Linked DNA regions of Drosophila melanogaster. The protein of the gene in region 1 interacts with the protein of each later gene in a pairwise test. Each region holds a gene or a part of one and is shown on either strand. Other genes may lie near its edges. The genes, in order: CG13494, CG14234, CG12209 and Rdh.

Evidence for each region.
Region 2: the proteins of CG13494 (region 1) and CG14234 interact in a two-hybrid assay, tested with the Drosophila melanogaster proteins (one large-scale study listed by BioGRID).
Region 3: the proteins of CG13494 (region 1) and CG12209 interact in a two-hybrid assay, tested with the Drosophila melanogaster proteins (one large-scale study listed by BioGRID).
Region 4: the proteins of CG13494 (region 1) and Rdh interact in a two-hybrid assay, tested with the Drosophila melanogaster proteins (one large-scale study listed by BioGRID).

The regions. Positions count from the first base shown.
Region 1 is NT_033778.4:21,953,719-21,956,719, reverse strand, and holds CG13494 (uncharacterized protein), read left to right. Parts: upstream 1-1,874; 5' UTR 1,875-1,947; coding exon 1,948-2,310; 3' UTR 2,311-2,478; downstream 2,479-3,001. Other genes in the region: CG43405 (uncharacterized protein), read left to right, coding at 2,768-3,001.
Region 2 is NC_004354.4:19,733,880-19,741,004, forward strand, and holds CG14234 (uncharacterized protein), read left to right. Parts: upstream 1-1,690; 5' UTR 1,691-2,109; coding exon 2,110-2,196; intron 2,197-3,116; coding exon 3,117-3,482; intron 3,483-3,544; coding exon 3,545-3,709; intron 3,710-3,822; coding exon 3,823-4,164; intron 4,165-4,318; coding exon 4,319-4,504; coding exon of another isoform or gene 4,505-4,540; 3' UTR 4,541-6,577; downstream 6,578-7,125. Other genes in the region: AP-1-2beta (adaptor protein complex 1/2, beta subunit), read left to right, coding at 1-351; COX6B (cytochrome c oxidase subunit 6B), read right to left, coding at 7,028-7,125.
Region 3 is NT_033778.4:10,245,522-10,249,467, reverse strand, and holds CG12209 (uncharacterized protein), read left to right. Parts: upstream 1-1,907; 5' UTR 1,908-2,053; coding exon 2,054-2,181; intron 2,182-2,237; coding exon 2,238-2,382; intron 2,383-2,438; coding exon 2,439-2,564; intron 2,565-2,615; coding exon 2,616-2,765; intron 2,766-2,824; coding exon 2,825-3,133; 3' UTR 3,134-3,397; downstream 3,398-3,946. Other genes in the region: CG12914 (uncharacterized protein), read right to left, coding at 308-526, 610-747, 797-943, 1,006-1,156, 1,224-1,336; Hdc (histidine decarboxylase), read right to left, coding at 3,889-3,946.
Region 4 is NT_037436.4:3,823,874-3,829,070, forward strand, and holds Rdh (Red herring), read left to right. Parts: upstream 1-1,575; 5' UTR 1,576-1,650; coding exon 1,651-1,794; 3' UTR 1,795-1,877; intron 1,878-4,514; 3' UTR 4,515-4,652; downstream 4,653-5,197.

The DNA.
Region 1 (3,001 bases):
AATGAATGCGATGATGGCAGGATACGAACATGATCATTGCCATTGCGTTTGTTCCTGATGATGATGATGATTGGTTGGGAATACACATAAATTCAGCTGCGTACGATTTTCATTGGGGACGGATATCTGACCATTTGGGACTTTTCGACTAGGAAGTCATATTTGCCGGAAGATGATTTTCTTTACATTCGCATCTATTCAAGTGGAAAGATAGCCTTAACTTGCTATAAATCCATTTCTTAGATTTAAATAGTTTCTGAAAATATATTTAGTGTAGTGAAGACGCCTGTTTAGTATTCAGTTTTACCCCGAGATGGAATCGCAGACAGATGAGCCTAGTCCTTCCGCCTTTCAACGCGTTGCCCTGCAACTCATCCTTCGTCGAATTCTAATGTGCAAGTTGACTTTGTGCAATCGCGCATTGCATGCCACGCAGTTACCCCTCAGCCCGCAGCCAAAAGCTCTTAACCCCCTGAGGATCCTCAGCCGTTCGAGGGATGCGGCAACTACACGGAGGCACCAACCGCAGCAACAACAAGGACAACGCCTGCGACAGGATATGGCAAGTGGGCAACTTTGGAGCGGGCGAGTTTAAATTGCCAGAGCTAAAAGGGTTGCCAGCAACAACGCCGTGAAAAACGTAACTTTTTTCTGCTTTCCCCTACGATTTCATTCCTTCTTTTTTCAGAAAACATCGACAAGCGGCGCTTTTGACTGCCATTACCCACATTGCCACCCCTCGCAGCTTGTTTTTTGTGGCACAAAACTTTGCACTTTGACATGCAGCCACGTGTGCCATGATGCTATATGTTAAAGGTGTGTATGTGTGTGTGTGTGTGAGTGAGTTTGCAGGTGTGGGTGAATGCATGTCTGAGTGTGGGTGTCAGTGTGAGGCAGTGAATTGAATGAGCTTTCAATGCTGCCACCGCCAATTGGCCGACAAACGTGTCTAATAGTTCCCAATTGCAATCACTGATTTGTGATTCAGAACGAGAAGTGGATTTTTACTTTCCCGGTGAGTATATTATCAGGAGTTGTTTGATCAACCTTTAGTTACTTAACACAATGTTCAGTGTTTAATTATGGTTGAAGTCCAACGCAGTTTATATTTATTATGCACGAAACAGATAGATATCTGAAAAAATATATATTCATTTCGCTGTTTATCGAAGAGCTTCCTTTTGTTTTTTGCATTAAGTTGTTGACTCATTTTCTTAATTTTCTCTGTGGAGTAATCAGCGCACAAAATACAGTCATTATAATCAACGACCTCTTGGTACAGTAAACAGCTCCCTATAACGAACCCAGGCGCACACGTGCGCACACTTGAAAAAAATCTTTCTACTCGCATGAATATTTTAAAGCTCGCATCACATTCAAATTATGATAATGATGGCGTGAGGCGAGGGTGTGTTTTTTGCATATGAGTTAAAGTGGGGGTGTTTCGCAGAGTGGGTGTTTGGAGCGCTAACGAGCGCAGGTACACACAGGAGCTCAGGGACAGCTCCCCAGATCCCCGTTCGAGGACCACCCCTCTCTGCCAACCCAATCCCAGTTCCACCCGCAAAATGCTTTCGTTAATGCATTTCATTAATTATTATACAATTCGAATGGGCATTGTATGACGGGTGGTGTGTTCGTGGGTTTAATGAGTACTTTTGTGGAAAGGATTTTAAGTGCGATTGATCGTTAGAAGTCGCTTCGTGTGGAAGCGTGACGAATGCACCTATGCCCATAAGCTTCTTTGCTTTTGTCTTTCGTAGATGGGGAACTTGAATATATTTAAAACCAAATATGATGCTAAATTGAAAGTGGGCACATATGAAAATTGTGCTGAAGGAGTCTTTGAATACACACTCAACTTTGCTGTCTGAATTTTTGTAATTTATTCTAATTTACAATAAGCTAAACGTTAAACATTTCAATACCGTCAACAAGTGATTAATCATGGATGACACATTATCAACGGTAGAAGGCGGGATGACGGAAACATCCTCATGGAGCACCACGATCGCCACCACCACCACTACAGAGGCCGCCAAGGCGGGTAGCATGGCTGTCGGTATTATTGTCCTGATCGTTGTTATGGTGCTCCTCTGCTGCCTGCTCATCATCTGCCTGCCGCTCCTCTGCCTGTGCGGCTGTTGCGGACTCGCCTGCTCCGCGTGCCTCGCTTGCGACGAAGGATGTTGTGGTGAAGGCGGCGGCGGTGGATGTTGCGGCGATGACGGCGGTGGATGTTGCGGCGATGGCGGCGGGTGTGGCGATTGTGGCGACGGCTGTGGGGACTGCACCTTGGACGATGATTAATTCGGCGATAATTCAAGTTTCTATTAATATGTACGTAGTGCTAGGATATGCGATTCGAAAGCCTATAAATTTAATGTGCTCAGGTACAGATTCGTTAGGAGCATCCGTATGCTCATTGGCAAAATTGTTGTCTATTCATAAAAAATAAAAAAATCTAGCTTAATTTTGAAATGATATCTATTAACTTAATATATGGCAACCAAAAATCAAATTTAAAGTACAAAAAAATATCGACTTCAGTAAGCTGCGACTGTACTCTTAAAATTAAAAAAAAATCTATACCCAAAATAAAATTTCTGAAGGGTCAGGGTCATCGAAATTCTTAAGCTGCTATGCAAGGAACGGTGAGAAGCATTCGTTAATTTAATGTGATTTTCCTTATACATATTTCCTTCCATTTAGAGGGTTCAATCTATTATCGAAAGCAACAAAATTTGCAATTTATTTCCCATAAGCTATGGCCGAGTTGGATGCTACAACCCTATCTGAATACGATATTGAATATATAGACTTTAACATGACAACTGTGGCGTACCGTACAACCACTGGACACCCGGATACTAACCTAGGTGCTTGGGGACTTTTGTTCATATTCGTCGTAATTTTTCTTATCATTGCTGCCTGCTGTGCTTGTATGGGTGTTCTCGTCCTTTTTGGTTGTATGAAGTCCTTTCTCTGTTTTCGCTGTAGA
Region 2 (7,125 bases), on another chromosome or scaffold:
AACGTGCTGTTCGCCGAGGATGGGCAGTTGGACAAGCGCGTGTTCCTCAACACCTGGAAGGAGATCCCCGCCGCCAACGAACTGCAGTACACCCTGAGCGGTGTAATTGGCACTACCGACGGCATCGCCTCCAAGATGACCACCAACAACATCTTCACCATCGCCAAGCGTAACGTCGAGGGCCAGGACATGCTCTACCAGTCACTCAAGCTGACCAACAACATTTGGGTGCTGCTGGAGCTAAAGCTGCAGCCGGGCAATCCGGAAGCCACTCTCAGCCTCAAATCGCGCTCCGTGGAGGTGGCCAACATAATCTTCGCCGCCTACGAGGCCATCATCCGTTCTCCATAAGCGTTCCATGGCGCACATCCGATGGCATAGGATAAGCACAAAGCAATTGGAGCTATCGATTTGCGTGTGTTGAAGATTAGCTCAACAATAAGTTGTAAATTTACGTATTATTATTATATTGTGTATTGGCCGAATCGCCACCTACATATATTATTTATGCATATGCACACATATAAAATCCAATCGGGTTCGTCGAGAGATCTGTTAATTGTTAATCGGAGCTGCTTGTCACTCAGTGTACTAACGTGTAATAGCAACGTTGCATAACCGCATTCCAAAACTCTGTAACCCCATATGTCCTATGGTCGGCATCTATGTATATGTTTGTGTCCTAGTAAAATGCGAAACACTAAATAATTGTGACATTGTTTTCCTCGACGGCAGTTGCACTAAGCACAGTTTCTATTCGCTTTCAATGGTCATTTCTACAAGGTTCCAAATACGCATGATTATGATTTATGATTTTAGTATTATAATTAAAACTGTGTATTATAATATTTGTCCGTTCGTAAGCCTGAAAGATTTTTATACTTTCAGCTCAAAGTCAAAGTGCATCAAAGTAAGTTTTCTAAGTCGAAGATCTGAGAAAATAATTGCATCAGTTAGGTTAAAAGTCAATATATTGATCAATATTTAGGATCATTAAAATCCAAAACTAGGCTTGAAACTCAAAAGTTAGATTTGAAATATCATATTTACTTGAAAATTCGTTAAGGAGAAAGAGGTTTTCCTGCTGCAAATATAGAATCCATCAGATAGGAGTTGCAAAGCGCTTTTCCCGCGCAGATCAACTTTGCGTCAAACTATGGCCACGCCCACATTGGCCCACGTATGTAAGTGGAGCATTCTGTAGCGATTTGTACAGACACCCAAAGCTATCGAAGCTACCGAGGAGTCAAACCATATCCCAAAGCTTTGCTTCCATGTTTACAGGGATAACCATGTTGTATGCAAAGGATATACATATATATATATATATAATGGATTCCCAACTGATCATGCTGGTCAGTGGAAAGATTGCAGCAATTGGTACTAACTGAGGCACCCACTTAGCAATGGTTGTAATGGGCTCATCAAGACAGCAGTGGACCAGTTAAGGGTATAAGCGGAATGTGGTATACCTGGTCAGGGATGCGAAGGATGGGTGGTGGCGTCGAGCTTCGGCGCCTGAGCTTTCGAAGCTTTCGCGCGAACCCTTCGGGGGTTGTTTGGATGCCTGTGCGACCAACGAGAGCGCAAGAGAGGACAGGCTTGCCCATCGAGGACGTGGACGTGTAGCCATCCCTGTCGTGGCCACAGGACACACTGACTGTTTGCCTGCTCCACTGTTTTCCTGTTGTACCACAAGCTATTCTGGCTTGGCCCCGATTGTAACGAATCCGTATCGCACGTCGCAGTGCGAAAATGTGTGCAAATACTGCAATGTACCCGCAGTAAATTGGCCGCAGGATCGCTTGACACTCGCTGCAAAAGGACATCCAGGTGCTACGCCCTATTTCGCAGTCAATCCAGCCAGGTGGTAGTATAGGTGTACAGGCATAGGTGTAACCAACCATGCCCCTGCGAACGGTGCAGGAATGCGGAGTCCTTTTGTGCCAGTGAAGAGCAACCAACACGAAACAACGCCACGAAGAGGACAATCCGCCAGTGCTGTGTAGAAGAACAAGAACCAGAACAACAAGGACAAGACCAAGAGCATCGAGTACACCAGATCGCAGATTCCGTTGAGAAGGGTCCGCCAAAAATTAGTCCGCCGGAATGAGGGTGGCGGCGGACATGGTGTATGACTACGGCAGCGAGGACTCCATGAGCACCACCCACCTGGACTGGCCCTTTCTCATCAAGGTTCGTATCAGCAGCCCCTCGCAACCGCCCTTGTCCATCAACCCCTCTTCCCAAACCCTCGACATATTTGCACGCTTTTTAGGTTAAGTCGAGACTACAATATGCAAAGTGTCGAGTATAATGTGTATAAGTGGGGTTTGTGTGTCAACAGCTTTGTCACTGCGAGGACGCGAATGTATGTAGAGCTTCATGTGCATCCCTGTCAGGCTCCCGAAGGCTTATTCCACCTTGTAATCGGATCTGGGGAGGGTAAAACTCCGCCAGCTGTAAACAATCCGTAGTCCCTTTAAATACAATATGTGTACATCCTTAGATCATATTTCGTATTATTTTATAGGTTGCTCATTGCTTATGTTTCTATGTTTATACTTTCTAAACTATGCTTGATATAGAACTACTATGAACTACTACTACTACTTCAACTATAATCCTTAATTGATATTCTAATGTAAATTTAGTCAAATAGGGTTTTTTTAGGAGAGAGTTCTTTTCGTCAAGTTCTTTAAGGATTATAACGATTCCTTTTCCCCTTTTAATTAATTCTATAGCGATTTCATTGGATAATATTCAATATGAAATATTACAGAACTTATAGGCTTTAAGTTAATCAGTCCCGCTGATTCCAACCGATTTAATACTAGTTATAGGAGATATATCCCGTGTTTTTATGTGAGCCAAGTGGTTATGCCTGCCACCGTGCAATGCGTTGGCTAAGTGGCTGCAAAATGGCCAATTTGAAGCCACCTGAAGTAGGTTGAAGTGAGTTACTGCTCACTGCTCTGGCCAGTGACCAGAAGTGAGCAGGGTGGTGTGCTGGGCGAGTAGTGGCGTCAGCGCACGGCCCTTGCTTGATAAGTGTGTCGTGTCCTTGGTCGCATTACGGTGACACGCCCCCGATAACCAGTGACCTCCTCCCGCAGGGCATCCTGGAGGGGCAGACGTGCACGCCCACTGCGCCGGAGCCGCTGGCCGCCATCCTGTGGGCCATCTTCGCCGTGTTTGGCATCGTGTACGCGCTACTCGGCTACCGATGCCTGCGCGCCGTGGGCTTTCTCAGTGGACTGCTGGTGGGCGCCAACGGGATCTTCATTCTGCAGGACTTCCAGATCACCTTCCTGGGCAAGCCGGCGGACTCGGCGCTGGCCATTGTGGCGGGTTTGCTGGGCGCGGTGCTCGGCTCCACATATCCGGTGGCCTCTGTCCTCATTAGCGCCTTTGCCGGCGCCCTGCTCTCCGGCGCAGCCATGGCCGTCTGCGTGGCCACCTTTCCGGACAACGAGTTTGGGGTAAGTTCCTCCCCTCTTTGTTTTGCTTGCACCAGATGCTTATATCGATTCCCCTACCGCAGTACCGCGAGATCTATGTGGCCGTGGTGGGTGGAGCCGTCATCTGCTCCGTGCTGACCTTGTGCTGCGTGAAGTACGTGACCATTCTCACCTCCAGCATTGTGGGCACGGCCATGATCCTCAGCGCCATCGACTTCTTCACGCACGGTCTGGAGACCATCAATTGGGTGAGTCATGTCTGCTCCACATGTCCACCATTGGCTGGTTCGATGTGAAGCTGTCTGTTTAGTTGATACGGAGGGTGGAGAAAGCATTGATGGAATTATATAACTCTCTGCAGATAATCGGCATGCGGCCGCATCCCTCGCCGCCACCTTGCTACGGTGGCCTCCTGATCGCCGCCTGGCCCGTCACCATTGTGCTCAGCATCATGGTGCAGTGCTTCATTACCGCCTGGCGCGTGGATCACCGCAAGCGGGTGTACATGCGGCATCACAACCATCCTGGCCACGCGCACGGCGCCCATCTGCCGCACAGCCAGCAGCAGGCGGGACCCAACCACGGCATCGCTCCCGTCCGGCGATCCCAATCCCGCACCCGGGAGACGCGCGAGGAGGCCAGGCAGCGCAAGTTCCGCTATCTGTACCAGGTGCGCACGGCCCGTGGTGACATCATATCGCAGGTGAGTGGTTTGCTCTCATATGGACCCGGAAATGCGAGTAAAGGTGTCCAAAAGTATGCAACAGTATATGATGTATGCATACCTAGGCACCTTAGCGCGTGACTACTGCGTCGTAGCAGACCAAGCTGATCCTGTGGGCATCTCTTGTTTGCAGAACTTCGTGTCGGCTCTGCAGAAGCGCATCCAGCTGAGCGGCACGGAGACGCCGTCGGAGAGATCGATAAAGAGCAGCTCAAACGAACGAAACACGTTCCGGAGCGACCGCACGCACTTCACCACCATCCACGATCCGGACTCGGAGCTGTGCGACAAGATCGAGATCGTCCGTGACATTGGATAACAAACAAGCAATAGCTACATGTAACTATACCCGTAGGGGGGCTACGGGCTGCGGTACTTGGGCGCGGATGTGGTCATGGTCGGGGGACACAACTGTATGGTTGGATAGTTAAACGGGATTGGGGGCTCTAGGGAGCCGCCACGTAGAGCGGCGGAGGACTCACACAAGTACGGTTGCATGTAGACTTTTTAAGACGAGGCACCAAGTGCCGGACACAACACAAACGGAAGCGGAAATGGTGGCACAGAACCGAGTGGATGGTCATTGGAAGCTTTAAATATCAGAGGATATACGACGGATCTTTAGCTGGTTTCGCATGGAAGCCTTGGAGCTGGCGCCAGCCACAGATCAGGGGGACGAGATAGTCTAGACTAAGATTAATCGCATCGTGCACAGCTAGAGTCTAAGATGATGGACAGCACGGAAGGAAGCTGGCAGGAAGCTTTTGTTCTCTTCACTTAATCGAATGTTACTACAGATAGGAATACCTACACTACATATGTATGTAGCGATGGGCTGCGTGATGCATGATTGTGGTGGTGGATCATGGGTGCCTGAGATTCCTGTAACTACACTATACCCAACGCAGTACTCGTAGCTTCTCCCTTTTTCGTATATAGCCAGGCAATTGCAATTACTAATCCGGTTCATATCTGTGTTATAACTCTACGATTATAATGGGATGCATCCCAGCTGCAGGAGTTCCATTTCAACTATCTAGCATGATATTTATATATATAAGCATTACGTTGTAAACTCCAAACACTCGATCATCGCACAGCAGTTTCTCGGAGGCTCAAGGCAGGCGAAAATACAATACAATACCTATTAAGTACAATAAGAGAGGGTGGGGAGGGGGAGGGGGAAGTTGGAGCCATAGCCATCTAGACTAGTAGTAGACTAGAACTAGGATTAGCCAGTTACCCGGATGAGCCAAAGCCACTAAGCCACTTAATTGTCGATACCAGTAAATCACAATCCGCTGCAAGGGGCGCACTTGGGGCTCGACCAAGTCAGAATCCAACGATCCGCTCGATCAGCCGTCTTAGCGTTATCCGTAAGATTAGCGTTCGAAATATATATATATATATATATATATATATACTTTAAGACATTAGATCCATGCAAACAGCGGTACAAACTTCAGAAATTCACGCTATATATGCTAGCCGAGACATACCAATTTAAGTGATATAAAGCATTTTAAACGGTCTGATTATGGGGCTTAATCGGGTTACTAGAGCGAAATGAGTCCGTGCATCTGGTTTTCAGAAGTCTTGTGGTCGTCTTCCATCCGCTTTTGTTTCCAAGCAACATTACATTTCATTTCAAAGTACGGACGTATTTCTCAATCCACAGTACGGATTAAGCCCTTTTAGCTGGACACACCTACAACCAATAAATAGATAAAGTGATGCGTTTAGGGGAAGAACTAGAACTGGAAGGGTTCTTTCTCCAAGCCGCAAAGAAGGATTGGACATTGCCGGGCAGGAACTTCCATGTCGAATCGGTTGGTTTCCAAGTCGCAAACACCTATACTAAATACAACTCGAGTTTCCTGTTAAGTTGATTAGCAATTAGTTTCTAGGAATGGCTGCCGTCCGCAATTGTTGATTTATTACTATCGAAGACTATAGACTTTATATTTCCGAATTTTGTTCTCAAACTCAAGTGCTTATACTTTGATTCCTATTAGTTGTTCACTCTATCCTCCTGTCGTTCTAATGTTCAACAGCAATGTCTAATGCAGCACGATAATGCATTTAACTTCGGCAAACAGTAGACGTTTTGTACGACACACTCAATTCGGTTTAATAAAATATATATATAAAAAAAAAGGATAATAACTGCAAACTAAAGTAGTGAAAATCATAAAAAGAGTTGCACACATGTATACACCACTAATGAAATCCAATTAAAAACTAATATAACAAAAAGGCCAAAAGCGATTATAACCAGAAAGAATCCGATTTCCGAATGAAATCAAGTCTTGAGACGACGGGCTGCCAAAGATTAAACAACTTGTAATGAGCAAACAGAAAAGTAATATTAAATAAACGATGCAGGCCACATGTGCGTTTTTCTTCTTTAAGTTACAGAACCTCTCATCCACTCACAACAAGTGGATCAAATGACGAAACACCGGACTCTTTGTGTCTAATTGTTTATTAATAATAACACATCGGAATACAGTGGCGTGGCGTCGATCTGATTCGGATGCCAGTTCGGCCAGCAACGGCAGGACCAAGAATCAAGGATCAAGGATCAAGGATCAAGAAGAAACAAACACAAACGATCGGTTCAGAATTCAAGTAATTGAACATTTGTGTATTTTTTTTTTTGTATTTGCCGATGATGGTCTGCATTCACCGCTGGGGAAAGCACAAACACAAACTAGTCTCTGTTGCAATTGCCGGATTCTGGTTACCACGCTCCTCTACCTCCGTCCGTCCATCGATCGTGTCCTGTGTGTTTGGGTGCTGGATTGCTGGGTTTACTGTGTTGCTGCGTCTCTGGCGCAGCTTAGATGCGGCCGGGGAATGTGCCGCTCTCGCGCTGGTCGTCCCACTTCTCCACCCAGGCGTTGGGGCACATCGACTTGTAGACCTTCTGGAAGTAGT
Region 3 (3,946 bases), about 12 Mb from region 1:
CCAATTGAAAATACATCATGCCACCTACACTTTAACCGGACCCATCAAGTCCACCGAAGTTTTATGGAAACGTTTCGCGGACAGAGCCATTTATTTACATTCAGCGTTTTTGCTTAAGATGCGCGTGCCATGGAAACAGTTATCGATTTTCCGGCAAACCGAATCGAAACAAGACGACAGCAGTCGCGGGCACCCAGACAAACTTGCCCCATCGACATCGAGGCACTGACCAATTGCCGCAGGAACTGAATCGTCTCGCATAAACATTCTGTCCCAGCTGTTCCGATAGTCCACGCATGCGTTCCACTCATTCGATGTTCTTCCGATAGAACAGGTACACGAATATATCATGAATGTCCGCGCGCCATCCCATCAATTCTATAAACGAGGCTGTCGTCCACACATAGCCCATATATAGGGCAAAAAAGTTGAGGTAGTACAGCTGGCCGATCAGTATGTAGTCCCCGGTCGACTCCTGGCGGTAGAAGTTCGGCTTTCGCATGGAAGCGCCAAAGACTATGACAAACTGTGGGCAAAATTGGAGGAATACTGTGTCGTTATTTTAAAAATGGGAAAGTAGGTGTATCGTTTCGTTTCCCTGAGGCTTACCACGCTCGAGAGAATGGTGTATACTAGCAGGGTTGGAAACTCTATGATAACACGCTTCATCTCGGCACACACGATGATGCCAAAGCAGGTGAGGACAAATATGCGCTCGCTCCACAGGATAACCTTATGCCGGGTAGTCTGTGGTAAAGGAGGTAAGTGTCGGCGGGTCAACAAGTTCTTCACTTACGAAAAGGCCTTTCTTGTGTTTGATGGCACTATTTCCGTATATCACACTGATGATCATCATAAGGAATGTTAGGAAGATTGACAGGATGAGGCTTATATAAGGGGCACGTTTGGCGGGCTTCATGATCGACATGGTGTTCACCTCGTACTGCAGATCAAAAGAGGTCATTCGAAATGGACACCATCAGTTGAGATCATTCATGTACTTACCGTCCAGAGGCCCGCCAATAACCGCACCCACATAGGCTTTTTAACGATTATGTGGTAGAAAAATCCGTAGAGCTGGATGGATAGGAAGCTGACGACAAATTGCACGAGACTGAGGTAGTAGCGATCTGCGAGAAATTCCTTCAGGGGAGTGCTGAAAAAGAGGAGCAATTGAAAGGTCTGTCAAAAGCCGCAGGGCAAGAGCATGGATCACTACTCACATCTCCATCGCCACCGAGACCTGAATCTGTCCGATGACGAGCATAATTATGGTTACTCTGTACGTGGGTCCCACCCAACTCTTTTGGCGCGGTGGGGGGTTTTCGCGCAACATATGTACAGACGCTCTAGTTCTGAAACTGTATTTGGAGTGGCTTGTTTCGATTCACATCTAAATTTATGAGAAAAACATCAAACTATCAGAAAAATAAATGCCAACTGTTCTGTCCGCCAGCGGGATCGCGGTAGGTTGGATTGGTCCGTTAATCGTTACCTTCCGGTTGGTTTTGAGGTGTGAAAACTCATTTGCGGCACGTAAATGACCAGCAAAGTACGGCCATACAAAAATTTTGCGAATTCTGTATGTTGTGTAACTGCCTAACTCCCATTTTACATTTTGCAATGAATGATTTTATATTCATTGAAAGTATTCCTACAAAACCCTAGATATCTATGATAAAACATACATTTTTTGAACTAGTTTTTGAAATCAAGTCACTATAATCATTGAAAAAGGTGAGCATATAGGTGACCATAGAATTGCGTGCTTGCTTTTAAAATGTAAAACTGAAAATAATTGAATCGTATGCTCGTATTTTCACTATACATGCTTCTTTCTTCTGAGTGCGCAGAGTATATTTAGTGAACTAATAGAGTTTACTAATAGAATTAAATATCTTGGTGTAGTGGGTATCTTTCATCGCAGTGGTTGCTGGCCACCCAGCTTCACATATCAGAGTGGCCTGGACTTCTCCATTAGGTTTGAAATTAGTTATCGTTTGTTACTGAATTCCATACTCCAACACGATACCCGGGCCACGCCCACACCGCCATGGAGGACCGCCGCCAGAGAATGCGGGCATATCGGCGGGCCCGCCGAAAGTTTGCCTGCGTCGTCTACATGGTGACCATAGCCTGGATGGTCCTGGCTATCTTGCAATGGCTCCTGGTCAGCCTGATGTGAGTTGGGCAGCTGAGTTTGGGGTTCTTTACCGCTGTAACCGCTGTTCTTTCAGATCGGACATAAGTATGACCTTCACAAACTTTTACTGGATTAGCGTGATCTTCTTCGCGCTGGCCATGGTGATGGTCACGGTGTTCATATTCTTCGAGAAGGTCCGATTCATCATTGGCCTCAACTGGCTGATCACCGTGCTTATAGTGAGTATCCTGCGAACACATTCCGCATGATCTTTCACCTTGAATTCCTTGGCTAGGTGGAGTTTATAATAATTGGTATGTTCGCTCTGGTGGCAAGAACTCTCTGGCAGGACTTGATAATGTGGTTTATCATCTGTGTGCTGTTTGTCTTCATGTTTGTGCTGCTGGGATCCATTATACCAGTAAGGGTGTTTGCATATTTGCAATATTTTTGCTTGAATTTGTATTCCCAGCACGATCTTACATTGGACGTTGTAATATTGTTTGTAATGGCATTTATTTTCCTGATCATCACCGTATTCTTTGTCATGATGCACATTCTGATCGATATGCCGTACTCCTTTGTGGTATTCCAGATCTTCATAAGCCTTATTGTGCTCTTGGTAAAAATTGAACGTTTTACTTATCGAGCCATTAGTATGATAATATATAATTTCCTTAGTTCGTGATGTACCATGCCCAGACGATCAATGGTGGACGCTTTGCCGAGATGCGGCTGAACGATCACCTGTTGGCCTCGCTCATCCTCTTCCACGACTTCATCATCATCTTCCTGCTCACCTTCTATGCACAGATTATCTACCGGTTCGCTTCGAATGCCGCGAAAACCACGGGATCTCCGTTAGAGGGCAGTTGGGTTCAGACGACACCGATTAATGGGGATGACGTCGTGGAAGACAATGACGAGGACAGCGAGGATGGACCGTCGGCAGTGGGCAGTGAGAATTCCCCAGGTGGAAATGCATCATAACCCTCCAAAGGGGGCAATGTATTCATCTAGAGGCGAAGAGACTACTTTTCTCCAGGAGTAATGATCGAGGGCATCAAATTGCAGGATGGCTTGGTACTTAGTCGACTTGTAATTAGTGCCAATTAATACCCAAAGGTATTAAGGAGACATATTTGGTATCCTGAAAACGCGAAAAATGCTGTGACTTATACAACAAAGAATCCAAAAATGGGCTTAGAATAGCATATTTTGTCCATAATAAAACAGATATATTACTTGTGTTGTAACTAGAACTTTGAAACTTTAATCACACTGAAATTGATTAGACATGGAGATACATATGTAAGCCGGTAAGTTTTTGAGTTTTGAGTCTTGACCGATTGTTAGCTTAAAATAGGAAATTTATAGTATTATGGTATGGGCATGCATATTTTGTAGAGTAACGTACGGCACAACATTGATTGGAATTACGATTGATTGCATTATTGATTGATTGCACAGCAGCGTTCGATGATTTACCCCTCTTTCCCAATCACACATACATATATACAATGAACTGAGGTGTCAAATAATATTGAATAATAACGTAAGTCATGGGATCCAAATAAAATGTGTAACTTCAGATTGAGTAAGCTAAACAAATAAGATGTATAGTTGGATCATTACCAACTACTTCTTGGTTTAAACAAAGAGAAAAAGATTCTATAATTAGGTACTTTTTCTGTCCTTAGATTCATTGTATAGTAAAACTTAATATGGAATTTTTAAGGCTATCACTAAAGCGACTCCATCGATGAGGTTGTCGAACAAACGGTGGCATCCGAGTCGCTGCCC
Region 4 (5,197 bases), on another chromosome or scaffold:
CAGCGACAATGAAAAAAAAATGTCCTTTCGTCTGCTTATCGCTCCTATTTACCCCCATGTTTTTGCTCCTCTAAGGAACGAGGTTCTAAAAGCTTTTTTATTGCCCACTCAAACGATGAATGCATTCATCATGAGGAAAGGGAGGAGACTCAGAGGCAAATAAAATAACTGGCATATCCCGTCAGGAATCAAATGCAATTTCAGGCTATAAATTGACAGATATGCAAGCGGAAAAGAGATGGGAAAAGGGCAGTAGAAAGAGACGGAAGAGCTTCAATTGATGGACACTTTTTTGGTCAATTTGCCAGTGATTTGCGAGGGTAATTGAATTGGAAAAAGTTTTTTTGTGGGATATAGAGTATATGATGATTTATGGGATAAGTTTTAAGTGGTTTAAAAGTGGTTTACTTTGCTGGAAATGTTCCAGAAAATTAAGCTAGAAAACTATATTTAACGAAAATAGACAATGTATTTCGGTTTGTTCTTACAGCTTTAAAAGGATATGCAATAGTCGAATATTTTCCCTCTTCATTAAAACTATTTGCATTCGCTTATCTGCTGGCTTTCACACAGGCAATTTGATTAAAAGTGTTTGAAACCGAGATTTAGATTGCTGTGATGAAAAATCTCTTTTAATATTTACATTCAATTAAAATTGAATTCGATTTCCAGGTATGGCATGTTTTGTTTTTCATCGACTTTGGTGAAGTTTTTGTTTTACTTTTTTTGCCCCATAACATTCCTGTTTGGCAGGACTCTCCTTCTGCAGGACTCTCTCCCCTTCCCTCTCACGCACTTATGCTCACATGTCCAAGGTCCTTTTGTGGCCTGCTAGGAAGTGAAGCCACAGAACCAAGCAGGGATATAGGGATATATAGGCAGAAAACGCAGAAAAACACAAAGGATGAGATGCCCAGTAACCAGAACAACAACTGCACTCGCTACGCAGCGCACGCACACAAACGCACCACGAAGGACAATAAAAGCAACAACAATAGCCACCAGGAGCAGCAGCAACTAGAAGGAGTAGATGAGAACACTGACAAAAATAATGCCGCAAACAATATGAAATTATTAAGAGTAATATATATTGTTTATATTGATTCTTGTTTCCACTCATTAACGGATTAAGCAATCAAAAAATTATGCGCAAAAGCTTTTAATATATTTAAGAGTTTAAAAATACTCCCAAATGTAGGCTCTAAAAGTTGGGCGCCAATTATTTAATTTTTTCTTCAAATTAATTGATAATTTCTTCGAGTGAGTGCAGAGTGGAGAGTCTCGAGCAAATGCCACCCCAATAAGCATTTTGCCTCTGGGCCATGGGACATCGGGCGAACTATATGGTAGGGAGGATATCTAGAGAGTGAGAGAGGGGGCTAGGATGTGGGAAAGGGAGGGGGAGACCCATACGCTTTAACCTGTTTTCCGCGAAGCTTTTACGCACTCGCAGCGCTCTCTTTTTGCGTGACCAAAGCGAGAGCAAAAGAGAGCGAAAGACTCGCTTGATTTTTTTTGCCACCCTTCTGGGGGAAAAGCACAAGCACGAATGAGGAGATTTTCAGCCGAGAGATTCTAGAGAGAAAACCAGAGGAAAAGAGACCTTCCGCCAGCGAATTGGCCCAGTATCCATTCGGCCGTGTTCCCATAATGTCCGCCAGCGGTCGTCGCTTCTGTCGCAGCCGTTGCCAAAGTTGTCATTGTCATCCGTACCAGCAAACGCAGCAGCAAAAGCAGCAGCAGCAGCAGCAGCAGCAACATCAGGCAGCAGCAGCAGCAGCAACTAGCAACTAGCAGCAGCAACATCTATAGGAGAAGCAGAGCCGCAGCAGCAGCAGCAGCTTAAAAATACATTTTTCACAATGAAGCAAACGGAGGCAAGAAAAAATTAGTGCCCGAGAAAATTAGTTTTTCAAGAAAAAATACAAAAATAACAAAAAGAGCGAGTGAGAGGGGCATAAAAGCCGAGAGAATGAGATGGAGAGAGAACAATGGTCGATGGGGTTTTTGCGGTTGTGGGGCTCTGTTCTTCGGTTTTCGCTTCTCAATACAAGAGTTGCTGGTGGAATATACAAAAAAGAAGGAAAACACAAATGGCACGCGCGTTGAAAAAAATAAAAATATCGGTTTTAGAGTGAAATTGCAGACACCGAGTGGTAAATGGATATGTAAAGCTGAAAAGGAAGCCCCTTTGCCGGGCAGAGTGTTTAAAAATATATAAATAAAATGAAAAGTGCAAAGAAATGTGTGCGAAAACGAGAAAAATGTTTTCGAGTCGCGAGGAATTTTCATTTGCTTAAAAGACAATTTTTTTCGGTGGCCTTTTTGGTGTATTATACATACACAGTCGCACACGTTTTTCCCACACACACACACACACTCATACGAGAGTTCGGGTCTTTTTCTCGGGTTCGTTTTTCATTTCGTATTTTTCTTTAACAGCATTTTAGTTTGTGTATTTTCGACATTCGGTGACGTTTCAACATACAAATTAGTAAGAGTTTTCCGCGCGAGAGGTGGAAAACTGCATGCTTGGAACATTTCATCGACTTGTCAACAAATTATAATCGTTATTTGGCTCTTTGGTGGAAATGGACGCCCCATTTAGCCCTCATCTTTTGCTTCTTCCTCCCTCTTTTGGGGTTTTTTTGCTGTTTCATTTTCCATTTCCCTTCCACTGCCTTTGCGAGTGCATTGCAGCCAACTTCCTGCTCGAGCTTCTAAAGTGCAGGCACGCCATGCTCTCTCTGGGTATGCACTCAAAGAAAATTGTGGTTAGAATTTACTTATAAATTAATTTGAGTAATAATAATAATATAAGAGGTTTTAAATACTTACAAATGTAGGATACAAAATACTTTAAAATCTTGGTAATAGTTTAATAACTAAAGCAGTTATATTGGGAACATTTCCTTATATTTTCCTCAGTGTACTACTTTTAAGGCTCTTCTTCCCTTTTGGGTTCTCCCACGCACGCGCTTTGGAGCTTATTCTCCGAAGACTAGACGACCGCAACACATTTCCTAGTACTCGTCACTACGGGGAAGCTTTTTGTTTGTCGCTTTGAGCGGCTGGAGGTCCAAAGGACACACCGATAGGCGAAGAAAGAGAGGGCGTGTGTAGTGAGTGAGTGAGCAGCTGTAAACAGCAAAACAGCAGGAAGGCCAAGTCGTAATACCACGCCACATGCAACCCATAATTCCACACCCCCTTCTCCGGATTCTGAATCAGACTCCTCACCCGAATGCAATTTTGCGACTCTTGTCCCAAATTTGGTTGGCGAACTTTGTCGTTGGCTTTGCCTTCGCCTCGTTTCCATCGAAAGCCGTTAGAATTGGCAAGGAAAAGCGGTGGAAAAACGAAGACGAAGACGTCGTCACCTTCGTTTTGGTCGTGTGCCACACGTCGTATGCGTGTTTCTTTTTAAGGCGGCTACGTCATCTGTCACCTGCCCACTTTTTCGCTTTTCTCTCGTGCGATTCTCCAAATCTCGTTTCTCGCTTCTTGCTTCCACTCGCTTTTCGCATTTTTCGCGGGTATTTCCCAGAATAAAAGATTCACTGCGACTGTCATGGCATTTCGCATTTGGCCAGGTGTTTTTGGCCCAAAACCTTCATTCATCTATTCTATTCTATTCTTTTTGCATTTATATTGCATTTTATATGAGTATTGGTAGAAAACAAACGAAAGGAAAATGATTCTTTGTCATAATTTTTAAAGGCTTAAACGCTTTGGGAAAATCGAAGCAAAGTCTTTTTAAAATTTCATCATACTTATCGTAACTAATTCATTTTTAAATATTCCTACACAGATTTCTGATTACTTTCTATATTCAACAGAGAATGCAAAAATCCTTTAGCTATTGTACAACTTTTTGGGAACTTTCCGTTGCCCTTAACTTCACACAGCAATTTTTAATTATATAAACGCAAAGAATAGTAGCCCCCTTATTCAAGATTTCATTACTTGCCGATGCAAACACCGACTTGCCTCAGTTATTTATGCAAAGTCCATTCAACTCGGACAGATAAACATCAAAATTTGAAACAATTTTTGGGAGTTCAGCTCAACCCCTCTAGTAGGCACAAAAAGTGAACGAAATTGGCTACCTACTCCATAAATTGTGACAATCAAAAACTCAAGATAATTACGTTGAAAGGGAACCAGTCGCTTGTTACGGGTGTGTGTGCGAGTGGTGTCGTCCTTATAAGGATATTCGCCAGGAGCTGAGGTGCCCTGAAGATACAGAGAGCAGGCGAATATCCACCCTTCTAATCGTGCCGAGGGCAATATTCGCATCATGAAATTTTCTCGGCTTTCGGTTCGTGCAGTTTGAATATCAAAATAAATCGTAAACAAGGTCATATTGTCTACGAGTGTGTGATACACGGATACACAGTTTTGCCAAAGGGATTCATTCTCTCGGCTTCCGACTCTCTCTCTCTCTCTCTCTCGCGTGCGCGTTTTTCTCTTTTGGGGAAAAGCCTTCGATTAAACTTCCTCCAACTTTGCAGATGGTAAAATGTGTGCCACAGGAAACAACAGGATGTCAGAGAAATCCTCAAAGAATCCAAACTATATAGACAACCAGATGGAAATATCTCAATAAACATAAACAAACAAAGAAACAAGTAACAAAACCGAGGAAAAGGAAAAATCAGCGAGAGAAATAATCACAAACAAACCGAAAGAAAGAAAGCTTTAACTAAAATATTTTTAACTATACAATATACATACATATATAAATTAATTATAGAAATAGCAACCTAAGTGTTTAGTGCGTAAACGAATTAAATTTTAAACAAAATAATTGGGAAAATCGAGCAAGTGTACAGACCAAAAAGTGTGGGCAGCTTCTGATTTTCGGTGATATGGTGTAAATGTGATAAACAACGTTCTAAAGAAAACAACAAACAAACAACCAAATCGTTTTAAAACTCAATTACCACAATAACAAAACAAAATACCTTAAACTAGTGTTTTATTTTTCCTCCCTTCGCAAAGTTTTTTGCCACGAAAATCCAATACAATAACTATTTATCTACAAAAAATACTAAGCCTTGCATCTTATAAACAAACTTAACTAATTGTAAACTATTCTAAGTCGCACAAAACCAATGCAAATCGAGTGAAAACAACAGCGTCAGAGATTTTTGGTTCAACCTTTTTTATAAAAAAATATTCTCTCAACCGCACT